Linked DNA regions of Diceros bicornis minor. Each later gene encodes a partner of the first gene's protein in a complex. Links are inferred from orthologs where the notes say so. Each region holds a gene or a part of one and is shown on either strand. Other genes may lie near its edges.

Evidence for each region.
Region 2: the proteins of ITGAM (region 1) and PTN are in contact, whole or in part, in an NMR structure (PDB 8VOH), measured with the Homo sapiens proteins. The link is inferred for Diceros bicornis minor from reciprocal best matches to the Homo sapiens genes ITGAM and PTN. Residues at the interface, in NP_000623.2 of Homo sapiens: Pro273, Asp276, Arg277, Gly279, Val280, Ile281, Arg282, Tyr283, Lys306, Pro307, Arg309, Asp310, His311, Ala334, Ile335, Glu336, Gly337, Thr338, Gln339; in NP_001308315.1 of Homo sapiens: Val56, Pro57, Thr58, Ser59, Asp61, Cys62, Gly63, Leu64, Thr66, Glu68, Thr79, Lys81, Thr82, Gln83, Arg84.

Annotation. Positions count from the first base shown.
Region 1 is NC_080765.1:20,817,002-20,824,751, reverse strand, and holds the start of ITGAM (integrin alpha-M), read left to right. Parts: upstream 1-2,395; 5' UTR 2,396-2,480; coding exon 2,481-2,508; intron 2,509-2,570; exon of another isoform or gene 2,571-2,786; intron 2,787-3,927; coding exon 3,928-4,033; intron 4,034-6,080; coding exon 6,081-6,184; intron 6,185-6,510; coding exon 6,511-6,581; intron 6,582-6,735; coding exon 6,736-6,853; intron 6,854-7,750.
Region 2 is NC_080742.1:85,496,114-85,503,863, forward strand, and holds the start of PTN (pleiotrophin), read right to left. Parts: upstream 4,284-7,750; 5' UTR 4,021-4,283; intron 1-4,020.

The DNA.
Region 1 (7,750 bases):
ATAGCTGCCAGTACCTGCAAGTGTTTGCATGAGGGCTCTCTCTGGCTCCTGGAGCCTTCTCTGCCTGGGTCAGGGCAGGTTGGGAGCACCAGAGAATTAGGGCTTTCCCACAGAGCACACCTCAACTGATAGCTGATGTGAGTTGTGGATAAGAATCTACGCCCCCTCCCCTCGGGCAGACAACTCTGAGGCATGTTCTATGCTGGCTTCCAGAGTTCCTCAGTGTATTGAGCTCCAATTGTCCACAGCAGTACCTTGTTTTATCACACATCTTTTAGGGGCTTCTTCCTGCCCCTGCTTCCCCACAAGTGTTTCCTGAATCACCTCCCAAGTAAATTACTTGCACTTGAATCCTTGTCTCAGGGTCCATTTATAGGGGAACCCAAGCTAAGATTTTATCAAGAATTGGGGTGGGGGGCTGGATGGGAGGGAGTGGCTGGAAGCCTGTAGATAGGTGCCCACCTGTGTTCATCTGGTCAGGTGCACACCTATTGGTGGATCATTGAGAAAGACTCTGTGGGTTGGATAGCCATTCTGAGATTTTGCCTGTGCCTTTACAGACAGTGGGCCCTTGGCTACTGTTTGAGGCAAGGAGGGGCCCCGATATCTGAGTTCTAGCTGCTTCCTGTGGTGGTCAGAGTGTGAAAGCTTTTACCAAAACAACCCAGCTTATCCATTAAATTACTCCCCCACACCCCGATGGTATCTTTTCATCCTCTCATCCTCAGCCTTCTTCCTCTTTCCTCAGCCCTTTTTTTTTGCTGTCAAGTGTAGGCACTTTGTTGTTTTAAGCTATTTATTGGTGTTTTTCTTTTCTTTCTGATTATAAAAGTCATTCAAATTTTTTGTATAAAAGTTTTAAATACAAAAAATATATAGAAGAAAATTAAAATCGTCCTGTGGCAGCTTCAAGTTGACCACAAATTCTTTGACACACCTCCCATTGAGAGGTAGGATCTATGTCCCCTCTCCTTGAATATGGACAAGCTCTGCCACTGCTGGACCAAGAGAATATGGTGGAAGTGACTCTGTGACAGTTTCCAGATCAAAACCTTAAGAGACTGGAAACTCTCAATTCTTGTCTCTGGGAACACTTCCTCTTGATATCTAACCACGCTGATGTGAGAAGCCCAGGTCACATAGAGAGGCCACAGGTAGCTACTCCAGTTGACAGCCCCAACCGAGCTCCCTGCCTGCAGCCAGCGTCAACTGCCTGCCATGTGAGTGATCCATTTTGAAAGTCCAGCCCAACTGGGCCTTGGGTGAGTCCATCCCCAGTCACGATCTGACTGCAACCAAATGAGATCCCCCAGTGAGTACTGCTGAGGCTGGACAACCCACAGGACCATGAGACAATAATAGTTGCTGTTTTAAGTCACTAAGATTTGGAGCGGTTGGCTGTGAGGCCATAGATGACTGGAACACACCCATAATCCTATCATCCGGAGATAACCACTATTAACATTTTGGTTTTCCTACCCACGCATATGTTTAAACAGGTCATTTTAAAATAAAATGTGCAGAATTTTTATGGAATTTTTTCAGAGAGCAAACATTTATTTGCTCTGGTTATTAAGAAAGTAGAACTAGGAGCAAGAGAAAATGTGTTGGAGATAGAGTGAAAAAATCATTGGCTTGGGGATCGCATTAGCAGTCCCACTCAAGGTACGGTTTGGTGTTCTCTATATTTCATGAAAGTGTGCTCCGTGTCTTTGAAAACAGGTTTAGAAGTGACTAGACACGATGGAATATAAGGATGTATCCCAGAGTGGACATCACTCAACCATTCCTCTGTTGGATATTCAGGCTGTTCTAGTTTTTCACCATTGAAAACAATGCCGCAATGAACAATCTCGTACATACATCTTTGTACTCAGCTATTACTTAGGATAAATTCTTGGAAGTGAGAATTCCTGGGTGAAGGGTTTGAGGCTTTTTTTTTTTTAAAAAGCAAAACAATACTCAAAAAGCACCAGGTTTCTCTGTACCTGAGTTGTCCTTATTGACCGCTACGAAGGAGGCCAGGTCTGGCTAAAGGGTGCTCCTGTTTCCCTGGGCAGGAGGGAAGGACATTTTGCAAAGTACACTTTCAGGGGCACACAGGCTGTGACCTCCCACACTTGCTTGATTTGTATTGATGTTTAGAACACACCTTCCAGGAGGCAGGCCCTCCGTCTATTCGGCTTGCCTTTCATAGTGCTTTGGCCAACCTAGCAGCAGGTGGGCAAACAAAGAACACCTTTGGGATAGTGACCTTGATGGTTTGGGCAGGAAGCTGGGTAGGGAGGGAGCACAGGCTCGTGTAGCCCCAAGAGGAAGGTCAAGCAGGGCTGTGTGCTCACTGAGCCCCCGCCCTCTTCCTTTGGGTTGCTTACAGACTTCTGCCTCCTACTTCTCTTTTTCTGGCCTTTTTGGCTTTGGTGGCTTCCTTCAAGTGGCTCTGTGGTGTGTGCAGCCTCCTGGTTCTGCTCCCTCCAGCCATGACTCACAGAGTCCTTCTGTTAACAGGTGCGCCAGGGCTCTGGGCGGGCCCTCAGGGTGAGGAGAAGGGGAACTTTGGAGTCTGTGATTGCAGAGAAAGGGTGCAGAATATCTAGGATTTAGACTAGGGGATTTGGGGAAGGACAAGAGATTCAAGAGGAAGCAGAGAGTAGAGCCTGACCAAGGTGGGATGACCAGAGAAGCTCGGACGAATGACAAGGGGGGTTCGGCTAGCCCTTTTACTTTGCAGGTGAGGAAACTGAGGCCCAGAGAGGTGAAATGACATGCCCAAGGGTGCTCAGCAGGTACTAGATTCTCTTCTCAGGGTGTTTCTTCTTGGATTCCACCTCACCACCTCCACTTTGCCTCCAGTTCTATTTTCCAAGGACCCAGGTGTAAATGTTTGTTGAATGACTGACTGATCAAAATCCTTTTATGCCTGTGTTTTGTGGTGAATGAGCCAAAGAGGGGAAAGAAATGCTTGCGAGTTGCATAGGATGGAAATTGCCTAACTGAGAGTCTTTGGGAACTTGATTGTCGGACAAATCAGCAAAGTAAGAACACAGGGTGGAGCTCAGAGAGGGGCTGAATGCACCCCACGATGGTGGTCCTTAGGCTAGAGGTTAGCATACCGGCCTTGGGCTAAGGCAAGGATTCCACCACCTGTTTGACCTATGTGAGCCAGAGGTCGTAGATGAGCGTTTATAATTGATTCATGATAGGGAACACTAACTTTGAATCCCAATGATGTGAAATGTTATCTTCCCCAAAGAAGTCCATTTGTCTCCTTAGTAAATTTGTATTACAAAAAAATTATACACAATTATTATATTTTGAATTTTCTTAATGAAAAATTTGTGGAGGTGCATTTTCTCTTTTGTTATATAAGTGCCTGCACGTAATATACTCTATTTGCCTCTTGGCCCATAAAGCCTAAAATATTTACTATCTGGCCCTCTATGGAAAAAGCATGCTGACCTCTGCCCCAGGCTATCAGAGCTGGACCTGGGAGGCAGACATCTCGGTGCTGGGTTAGGGTGAATCCTGGCAGGAAGATGCAGGCACAGGAGGGCAAGCTGCTTTTTCTTTTTTTTTTTTTTGTGAGGAAGATCAGCCCTGAGCTAGCATCCATGCTAATCCTCCTCTTTTTGCTGAGGAAGACCGGCTCTGAGCTAACATCTATTGCCAATCCTCCTCCTTTTTTTTCCCCCCAAAGCCCCAGTAGATAGTCGTATGTCATAGTTGCACATCCTTCTAGTTGCTGTGTGTGGGACTCGGCCTCAGCATGGCCGGACAAGCGGTGCCTCTGTCTGCACCCGGGATCCGAATGGGGGCCGCCAGTAGCAGAGCGCCCGCACTTATCTGCTAAGCCACGGCCGGGCCCAAGCTGCTTTCTTAACCATCTCCTTATCTCCACCTGACCCTCACTCCCTTGTTCTCCCTCAGCCTTGGCCTTATGTCATGGGTTCAACCTGGACACTGAAAACGCAATGATCTTCCAAGAGAACGCAAGGGGCTTCGGGCAGACCGTGGTCCAGCTAGAGGGATCCCGGTAAGGGCTCAGGTGGAGAGCCGGGTCTCATCCGCTCTTCCTCCAAAACTTGTATTTCTGGAAAAAAAAAGTCGCAATTTCCTTGATTTGTCTTTTTCTTGATTTATTTTTTGAATAGGTAATACAGTTATAGGGTTCAAAAGATACAAAAGAGTGTAATAGTACAAAGTGTCCTCCGCACGCCCCTCCCCACAGTTCCCTCCCCGGGGTGGGGGGCGGGGGTCTGGTACCTGGTGTCTTGTGTGTTCTTCCCAAGAGATTCTCCGCTATATACCCCTCCGCATTCCCCTGACCCCATCCTGCACACAATTTGTAGCACGCATTATACTCAAACCACCGCCGGCTGCCTATTTTTATAATGCATTTTATTGACCTCCCCGCACCTCCCGCCCCCGCCATCGTCATTTATCATTTATGGCGGCTTTGGAGCCAAAATGGCAGAATCCAGAGGCTGCGGCAGAGACTACACAGCCTGCAAAGCCTTTACGGAAATAATATTACCTTTCCAGAAAATGTTTGCTGGCCTCTGCTCTACACTGTCTTTTGCATTTTTTTTTCTTAATAGAGCTCGGTGATTTTACCAGATAAGCTTATAAAGAGCTTACTCATTCTTTTTGATGCTTGGATCATATTCTGTTGTTTGGAGGTACCATAATTTACGTTTCTATTACATTTAAATCTCTTCTTAATGGACATTAGGTTGTTTCCAAACTTTTGCTAAACAAACAGTGCTGTCTTTTTTCTTATGTGCAAGGATATTTGGAAGTAAATTCCTAGAACTAGGATTGCTGGATCAAAGGGTACAAATGCATATGTGATTTTAATAGATTTTTCCAGATTACTCTTTATAGAGGTGGCAACAATTTACACTTATACCAGAAATGGACACACCTACTTCTGCACCCATTTGCCTACCCAATGTGTTATCAAACTTATTGATCTTTGCAAACTGAATAGGTGAGAAATGGTATCTCAATTTTGTTTTATTTTATTATTATTTATTTATTTTTTTGTGAGGAAGATCAACCCTGAGCTAACATCCATGCCAATCTTCCTCTTTTTGCTGAGGAAGACCAGCTCTGAGCTAACGTCTATTGCCAATCTTCCTCCTTTTTTTTTTTTTAAGATTTTATTTATTTATTTTTCCCCCCCAAAGCCCCAGTAGATAGTTGTATGTCATAGATGCGCATCCTTCTAGTTGCTGTATGTGGGACGCGGCCTCAGCATGGCCAGAGAAGCGATGCGTTGGTGCGCGCCCGGGATCCGAACCCGGGCCGCCAGTAGCGGAGCACGCGCACTTAACCGCTAAGCCAGGGGGTTGGCCCCTCAATTTTGTTTTAAATTGCACTTTTCAAAAATGAGAGACAGGGCCGGCCAGTTGGCATAGCGGTTAAGTTCATGTGCTCTGCTTCGGTGTCCCGGGGTTCACAAGGTTTGGATCCCGGGTGCGGACTGATGCACCGCTTATCATAAAGCCATGCTGTGGCGGCGTCCCATATAAAGTAGAGGACGATGGACACGGATGTTAGCCCAGGGCCAATCTTCCTTACACACACACAAAAAAATGAGAGATGTATTTCCTTTTCTGTGAACACTTTTTTCTTATCTGTTGCCCATTTTTCTGTTGGGTTATTGTTTTGTTTTTGTTATTGGTTTGTGGGAGCTCTGACTACATGGAGGAAAGGGGCTGGGGTACGAGGTGCTCATCTCCCTCCCCCCACTTGACTCTTTGACTTTTGACTTTACTTAGGATAGTTGATCCCATGCAGAAATTTATTTAAAATGACTGTGTGGTTGAATTTATTCACTTTTTAATGACGTCTGGGTTTTGTATCATTCTTAGAGAGGCCCTTCCCCCTCCATGATTTAGAATTTTCACATTTTTTTCTTTGCTGAGTCTTCCTCCTATTTCTGGGAATTGGAGAATCTTGTAAGGGTTGGCTCCCCCACTTTCTTCTGGGTGGGCAGAACTTCCATGGTCTTCTCTCCCGACAAGTTAGAGTTGTCTTTTGTCCCAGTGGTGATCTGTTCCCACCTCTCCCCCCAGGGTGGTGGTTGGAGCCCCCCAGGAGATAAAGGCTGCCAACCAAACAGGTGGCCTCTACCAGTGTGACTACAGCACGGGCAGGTGTGAGCCCATCCGCCTGCAGGGTGAGTCGCTGCCCCTCCCTGGGACCCAGGGCTTGGGTTCCACCTGTGCGTACACCTGGACTCCACAGGCATTCCCTCTGTTCTGGAGGTCTGTTCAAGGGGGTCTGTGGTGGGGGGCCCAGGGGTCCAGCTCCCCAGCCTCTGTGCTATATGCAGACTCTACCTCAGACACCCTCAGACACCCCCTCCATGTTCCTTCCCCACGACCTAGGTGCCCCCTTGACCTGTCAGACCTCCGTGTCTCCCAGGTCACGGTGACCCCTGTCCAGCTCTTACATAGTCCCTTTCAGCCCCCTGAGGGTGACCATGTATATATCTGTCCTCAGTCCCCCCGGAGTCTGTGAACATGTCCCTGGGCCTGTCTTTGGCGTTCGCTACCAACCCTTTTCGGCTGCTGGTGAGTTGCCCTGGGTCTCGGGAGGGAAGGAGTCCTGAGGGAAGGAGTTGGGGATCCAAGGCTGCCGGGGCTGGGTTCTTGTGGAGGGTGGAGATGCTGAGGTGAGTGGACAGGAAGCAGGGACAGGCCCTGCCACCTGTACCCTGCCCCCCAGGCCTGCGGCCCCACCGTGCACCAAACCTGCAAAGAGAACACCTATGTGAATGGCTTCTGCTTCCTGTTTGGAGCCAACCTATTGCAGCAGCCCCAGAGGTTCCCAGAGACCCTCAGAGGTAGGTCACCTTTGGAAGAGGGTACAGATGGGCAGCATGAGGGTGGGGGCAGGTCTTGGCTGGGGACTGCTCATGGTCTAGGGGGTGACTTAGAGGTCTAGGTGTGGGTGGATGAGGGAACTGGTTCCAATAGAGAGAGAGGCTGGAGGAGGGAGATGCTAGGGTCTTGCACTTTAAGAAAAGTCCTGATACAGCCATTCATCTTTGTGAGATGATGTCCCAACCATTGTCCTTAGAGTAAGTGCCTGAGTGTCCTGACCATAGCCTTTGAGGCTCTAGATGGTGTGGCCACTGTCCACCTCTCCAACTTCTTACCCATCCCTCTACTTCAGTCACTGTGCTCCAGCCACTCTGGCTGCCCTTCTTCTCCAACAACCACAACAAGCTGTCCTTGCCTCAGGGGCTTTGCACTTACTGTTCCTTCAGCCTGGCATGCTCTTCCCCCAGATCTCAGCCGACAACACATTATTGTCATCACAGCTCAAATGTACATTATTGTCATCACAGCTCAAATGTCCCTCCTTCAAAGAGGCCTTCCTTGAGTGGCCCTTCTAATCATTCCCACCATCACTCTCTACTGCATTGCCTTACTTTACCATTTTCATAGCTATACGTACATATTTTACTTGTTTCTTTTTTTGCTGAGGAAGAGTGGCCCTGAGCTAATATCTGTGCCCATCTTCCTCTATTTTATATGTGGGATGCCTGCCACAGAATGGCTTGATAAGTGGTGCATGGGTCCACACCTGTGATCTAAACCTGTGAACCCCGGGCCACTGAAGTGGAGCCTGCGAACTTAACCACTATGCCACAGGGCCAGCCCCTTCTCCTTGTTTCTTATCTGTCCTTTCTTCTGGAACAGAGGCTCCATGATAGCAGGGATATTGTCTAGCTTCT
Region 2 (7,750 bases), on another chromosome or scaffold:
ATGGGGAAGGAATTGGGCAAGACATCATGGGACCTCTTGGATGGCAAGAAACAATGGCAACTGAATCAATAAAAGGAAGAAATGAGAGCAAGAGGAGGGGGAACAGGTGAGTGTAAAATTTGGAAGAAGTGGGAACAAAAAGTTAGAGATACAGCACGCTATTTGTGTTTTAAAATGATGTGTTGATTTTTGCTAAGCACAATTCTTAGAATCAAGAGCCTGTGTCAGTTACTAGGACTCACTTCTTTTAAGATTAATATACAGCAAGAGATTTTTTTTTTTCACTGAGCATGAAGTTTAAGAATCTAGAATTCTTTTAGGAAACTCACTATGAGGATCTTTTTTATTTAAAATGAAACTTTATCTAAATCTACTGTGAAGAAATGGCTCCAAAATAAAGCCCAGTAGAAGAAATTAAAATTTATTTCTCAAAATATCTATCTCAGGCATGAACTATTCACTGTATTCCTTCTTTGCCTACCCTTAAGCCTAACCTTAAGAAATAGGGATTTGTGGTGAATGTGATCTACATAATCAAATCCATAATATTACCATAATTATAATGCCCTCTGATAATGTTACATTATAGCTACACTTTTAAACCACAGAAATTTTAACTTCTTATTTACCAAATACTAAAATAGGGAGGAACAAGAGGCTTGTTATATTGGATAATCTAGAAAGACCGTACGACACTGTGAAAACTATGCCACATAGATGACTGGCATGAAGTGCGTGGAAAAATGGCCCAGTGGATGGAAACTTGAATTGGCCACAAACAGCAAGAATGGAGAACAACTTTCCGAAGTGAGGCCATGGCCCATATTTCACTCAAGCCAATTGACTCTGGATGAAAAAAAGCAGACTCAGCTCCTAAAAACAAGGTCCGTATCAGAATATTATTTTACCTCAGGGCGATGACATGGCCTTGTGCCAAGAGGAGACAAAAGTTCTTCTGATTATTCATTAGAACAGACAACATTCTTCACCCTTATAGAGAAGCCCCACTCAGCATCCAAGCAATGGAACAGGGCAGTGGGAGAGCCCTGACGCAGCCTGATGCCCCAGAGGAAACCACACCGTCAACGGGGCTGAGGCACACCCAGGTGTAGAAGGTGTTTGTTCTCTGATCACCCTGGGTGGTCTCAATTTGGACACTACCTTCAGGAGGGAAGTCAAGAACAACTTCCCTCATCACTGTGCCGCCATGTTAAAAAGCATGTCTTGGGGCCAGCCTGGGGGCATATTGGTTGAGTTAGCACACTCCACTTCGGCGGCCCAGGGTTCACAGGTTAGGATCCTGGGCGCGGACCTATGCACCACTCATCAAGCCATGCTGCGTTGGTGTCCCATATACAAAATAGAAGATTGGCACAAGATGCTAGCTCAGGGACGATCTTCCTCAAGCGAAAAGAGGAAGATTGTCAACAGATGTTAGCTCAGAGCCAGTCTTTCTTACCAAAAAAAAAGGAAAAGAAAAGAAAAACAAAGCATAAGTCTTTGGAGAACTGGAATTTATATTCTGAATTCTGACTTCTGGCCTTCCATCTACCGTTAACTTACTACACCATTCTGAACAAGCAACTAAACTCGGTCTCTTGTGAAAATTTTGAATAGTAATAAAAACACCACATGGCAAATAGGAATATGATCAGAATTCATGTGAGAATGTCATTTAAATGAGAAAGCAACAGTTATCTTCAAAGGGAAAATAAAACATTTAAATTTAAAATATTTGATTTCTAAGATTGATTTTATTTATAAAAACAATTAAACTATTTGGGGACCTTATTTCTCTCAGGTTATTTCCAATGATCAGGCTTTGTGAAAATTTAAACAGGCCATTGGCTTTATTGGAGTAAACAAAAAAAAAATGCCCATTAAAAAAAAAATGTAGGCCCTCCTACATGTTGCTATACCAAGTAAAGTACATGGAAACTTTCAACAAATTAGTAAATTTATCATTCCAAATATCATGGCAACCACAGAATTACATATTATTATATATTATTATACAGTATATATACTATATTGTACTATTTATACTGTTATATACTATTATCATTCTATATAATACCTCATTTAAAAGTCAGGTAATAAAAGGTTATATATTAACAGTAGTTTCATTTCTCTCTCAGCTGTAGCTTTGAAAATATATTGTATTTTATTTTGTAAACTGTACCCACACGTGAACAACTGGAACACAGCACCTCACGCGGTTTTGTACCGCATTAGGTAGGTATTCCTTATGGAGGCCTTTCCCTAAATGAGGAGCAAAATGTCCTAAAGGGGGCCTGGGGACAGCAGGAGAGGAAGGATCCCCTTCTCAAGATTTAAAGGACAATTAGTCACTCAAAGCGCAAAAGTTTCTTAAAGCACAGGATAATGCCATTTGCATTTTTTAAAAATAAAATAATAAAAAATCTCATCCTCTAGTTTAAATGAGAAAGTACAAATACTGCCACTCTGAAATTATTCATGTCCCGAAGGGGAGAAAAAAGATAATATCCACTCTGGTTTTCTTTGAATTTAACTGGACTATAAATGTTCTTTTAATGATTTGGGCTTTAAAGTACGTAATTTACTTAAAAAGGAGCATAATGAAGATGGAAAATACAAGCTTTATTTTCTCTGCTTTTGTTTCACTCCCATTACTTTGTAATATTTGCACATATTAATTCATCCCCAGATGATCAAGGGGCTAAAATGGGCTCTACTGTTTCATCAATTCCACATTTTCCTGGGATCATGAAATTGCTTCATTCTGTTATTAGTTCCAAGGCTCTTCTTGGCAGGTCCTGAATCTCCTCCCAGGCCCTTCCCTCCAATACACACACACACACACACACACACACACACACACACACACACACAGATGCACACTCACACACGTCACCCTTCCAAGCTGCTAAAGCAAAATGCCTACTAAGATGAAAGATGCTAAAAGACTGGAACTTTGTCCGCCACACTTTTCATTCTCCCCTTTCATCACCACCCCTCCCCGCCACATGCCACTCCTATTTTTTCAATGCATCCCCAAACTTAAAAAGCAGCTGTTAACACAGATAGGGGTGAGTTAACAACAGTGTATATAAACTCAATGTGTGTTCTTGTGTTCTTGTGTATGTGTGTGTGAGTGCTGTGTTAAGGAGAAAGGTGTGTGTGTGTGTGTGTGTGTGTGTGTGTGTGTGGTAAACAGAGAGGAAGTTTATGTTCTGTGTGTCAAGTAGGGAAGGGAGTTGAATACATTCCTCGTTTTAAAAATATTTTAACTTAGAAACATCAACTCAGAAACTGAGTATCTGGCAAATAAGTAATAAATATACTCTAGCTTTATGTGGGTGAAATAAAAAGTTCAAGTGCTGGGGACAGGGCAGTTATTAAAATTAGCATTCAAATGAGAGAGGGGGTTTAAAGTGTGCCTTTTAAACTTTGGACTTTAATCATTTCTAGACCATTCTTGGGCTGGCAGGCAGCACAAGGATTGCTAGATGCTCTGTGAGAGATGCTCTATGTGTGCTGGTACTGGGAAGAACAACCCCCACATCTTACCTAGAAATGCCAGCTAAGAGTCATCAACTGGCAGGCCCTGGGGAAATCGCAGAGGCAGAGAAAGGATGGGAAATGAGCCCCGCTTGCTCAGGCTGCCTTACTTTCTCTCTCTTCTCTACCCAGCCACAGACACACCTACTAAAGCAGGTTTACAATGAGCAAACCCCCTGCACGTTCTCCAGCTGGTAGCAGGAACACTATCCAAATGCATGCATAGCATCACAAAAGCTCCTTTCCTTCCACTCATCTAAGGGCACCCGCACTACCCTGACCTGACTCCCCCAAAACACGCCTCAGTTTGCCTCTGGAGCCGATCAGCCTTGAAAGCAGCCCCACCAGCAAAGACACCAAGGCAGCCTCTCTCTCACTCCTACCATCAGCATCTGCTGGCACCCAGAAAAGTGGCAGAAGGTGAAGGGAAACTCGATTGGAGACACCTCGGAGAATCGCGCAGTCCTTTTCACTTACTTTGAGTTGCAAATGTGCTCTGGGCGCTCCGGCTGCCTTTGTTGAACGGGGCGAGGTGGTCTGCTCCAGGTACCCGAGTCGCTGCTGCTCGTTGCGCGGCGTCTGCTCTCTCCCTCCTGGACGGTGACTCACTGGTCTCTTTCTTCCTCTCTCTCCCCTCTGGATTTTCCTCTGCTCTGCGGTTCCCTTGGCGGGATTTTTGGACTGGAAGGCGGGGAATCTGATCCTGCCTTGGACTCAATTACGCCCTGACAGGGAGGGAAAGGAAGGGAAATGGAGAATGGGAGGGATGAGGGGAGCGGGCAAGGAGAGGACGCAGGCAGGGCGAGGGAGGGAGCGCGCCTTTCCCTCGCGAGCTGATTGGGAAGCTTATTAAAAGAAGAATTCTCCGGGGGCAGTCTCTCCCCACAGGAGCTAGCACACGGGTTTGAACCAAGAGGCCAGGAGATGGAACACTGTGTTGTTTTTAGCAGAGAGCGCGACATGATCTTTCTTTTCCAAACTTTATGCATGACCTGTTTTTTAGACGGGCTCATTCCCCAGTTTATCAAGTAGGACATCTTAAATGGACAATTCATGGCATTTTAGGTTACAGTGTTGACCCCAGACAATTTTTTTAAATGACATTTGGGATGAAAAAGCACAGTCTTCAAAACCAGCCTCTTTCTCCTCCCACCCCCAAATGCCCTCCCTACACACAGCTTGTTACTTCAACTGTCAGTCCCATCCCACCTGTGCCTCACAAAATGTGCAAAGTACTTTTTTGCGCTTGTCACAGAGTGACAGATGTCTGAAAGTTCCCAATTAAATGCCATTTTCCTTTAGGGGGCTCTTTCCTTTTTTGGCTTCCTTGGTGCCTTTAGTGACATGCCTTTGACACCCAAGAATTTAGGGGATTAATCAATGTAGCTCAAACTGTGGGATTTGTAAAACTTGGAGGGTGGGCTTCATGGCTTTCTGGAATTTCCATTTTGTTCAATTGAGAAAAGATGCTAAGGTAATATATCTAGGACTGTTTCAGTAATGCATAGATGAATATTTATGATATATATGAGACAAAAGTATTATGTAAAATCGTTCAGTACAAAACAAATTAACCCAAACATTCTCAAAAAGTAAATTTTGAGATTTTTCTCCACTCATCAGTTCTTTCCTGCTCCTCGTCTTGCTCCTTTTTGTTCCTTCCAGCTTATCATTTGATGAGGTCCACCCCAAATATGGTTGCAAAATTTACTTCCATTCCCTGTAGTTCTGAGGCTACATCCCTTCAATTCAACTTCATAAACATCTATTAAGTGCCTTATATAAATTTACATTTGCTTAGAACCATACTTAAATCTCGAAATTAAAAGCCTTGTTTTGTGACAAGTAGTTCTCAGGGACTTTGGGCTCTTATGTTGACTGCTACCTGGGCAAATGTCCCCTAGAAGTGAGGGCTGGGGACAAAGAGGTATCTCTACAAGTAGAGCTTTTAATCAATCAATCAATCAATCAATCAAATTTTTCAAAAGGAGAGGCATCAGAAATTCACATACACACCTCCGGTCTATCCCCATAAGCACACTCTCCATCCACATGCCACACACCAGCCTCAAGTGGAATAAATGAGTAAGGAACCAACTGTCTTCCTTCTATACACAGACTTCCGGTTGCCTGTCTCCCGCCTGTGATTCCATCGTCCCAGGGATGCAAGCAATGTTTGTATTATTCAATCTGACTTCACCTGCAGAAATTGTGGAGGAATGCACACTATCTTTTTTTATTATTATTTTTCCTAGGCCCTTTATTGAAAGAGACTTCTCAACATTCACTATTACTCCAGGGGGATAGAGTTTCCAGGCCACTAAGCAAGTGGTTGTCCATTTTCTATTTCTTCCTAAACTTTATTTTAACATCTATGAATATACCATGTTGCTCCCTGTTGTGGTGGTGCTTATCTATAGGGTTGATATAGTAAGCGTGAGATCCCCATGATTTCCACTCCATTTCATGTGTCATATCAAAAATATGACCCCTCATTCAAATAAGAATATATGAAATTATTTACATCAGTGATTCTCAACCAAGAGCAATTTTGCCCTCCAGGGGACATTTGACAATGACTGGGGACATTTTTGGTTGTCGCAGCTTGGGGGAGGTGGTTGCTAATGGCATCTAGTGGGTAGAGGCCAGGGATGCTGCTAAACATCCTCAATGCACAGGATGGCCCCCACAACAGAGAATTATTTAGCCCCAAATGTTAATAGGGCTGAGATTGAGAAACTCTGACTAACATTATTAACCATTGTATTTTAAAAATATAAAGGAAGATTAAGGAGGTTTTTTTTTTTTTTGGTGAAGAAGATTAGCCCCGAGCTAACATCCATTGCCAATCCTCCTCTTTTTGCTGAGGAAGATTGGCCCTGGGCTAACATCTGTGGCCATCTTCCTCTACTTTATATGAGACGCCCCCACAGCATGGCTTGACAAGCGATGCGTAGGTCCGGGACCAGGATCCAAACCTGTGAAACCCCTGCTGCTGAAGTGGAGTGCACGAACTTAACCACTACGCCACCAGGCTGGCCCCAAAAGAGTTTTTTTTTTTAAGAAATAGAAATCTATGAGGTTCAGATAAGTCATAATTTAACTCAACCCACCTTTACACTAAAGTTTCAGGAGAAATATTTTCTAATGCCCTCCGAAATGTTCAACTTCAAATCCAAACTTGATCTTATGGCATAGTCATGGGTCTGTTAATCCAAGATTTCAAGCCATTTCGTTCATTCCACATTCTTTGAGCACTTAAGCTTTTGAGTGAATAGAGCCATGAACAAAAGCAGATGAAAATCCCTCCTCTCATATAGCTTACAGTTTAGTTTATGTAGATAAACAAGCAACCAAAACTAATTAATTCATGACTGATTAAATTTTTAAAAGATGTGATAAGTGCCACGGGAAAAAATAAGACAATGAAAGAAGATAAAAGTGCCAATTTGGGGGAGGAAAGTGTCCCTTGGGTGAATTTTCAGTGAAGACTTAGAAGAGTTGAGGGAGCTGGCCAAGTAAACACTTAGAAGAAGAGTCTCCAGGCAAAGGGATCAGGAAATGCAAAGGTCTGAGCTCTGACCTTGCCAGAGGTGTTATGGGACGAGTAAGGAGGCCACTGTGGTGGGAACTTAGTGAGTGGAGATGGACGTCCAGCCCAGGCAGGTAACAATGGGTCAGATCATGCCTGGCCTTTATCTAATGTAAGGAATTCTACTCTTACGGGGAATGAGGTGGACAGCCAGTAAGAGTGACAAAAGCTGACTCTGGTTTAATAGGGTCTCTGTTGTTGAATAGACCACACGAGGGCAAGAAAGGAAGCAGAGATCCTAGTTAGGAGGCTACTGCAATAATCCACTCCAAACTTCTTCCCCTTGCCCCTGTTTCTTGTGAAACGTAACTAACTCCAAAGCTGCCCTTTACACTTGCTCTGGCCCCCAGCTTCCAGCAGCAGTTACTTCCGCTTGCTAATGCTCATCGTCTCTGCTAGTTTCCAGCCTCTCCAGGTGTAATTAATGAGCCCCCTACAAGAGTGCCACCAGGCTAAAATATAACTAACGCAAGATGATTTGAAATCATACAAATTATAACATGTCCTGAGGGTGTGTCGAAAATGAGGTCGCTGATTTTGCAGTGACACATACAAGGAGAAGTGTGATCAGCATGAAGCTTAAAAATGTGAAGGAACCTGATGAAAAATGTGTCA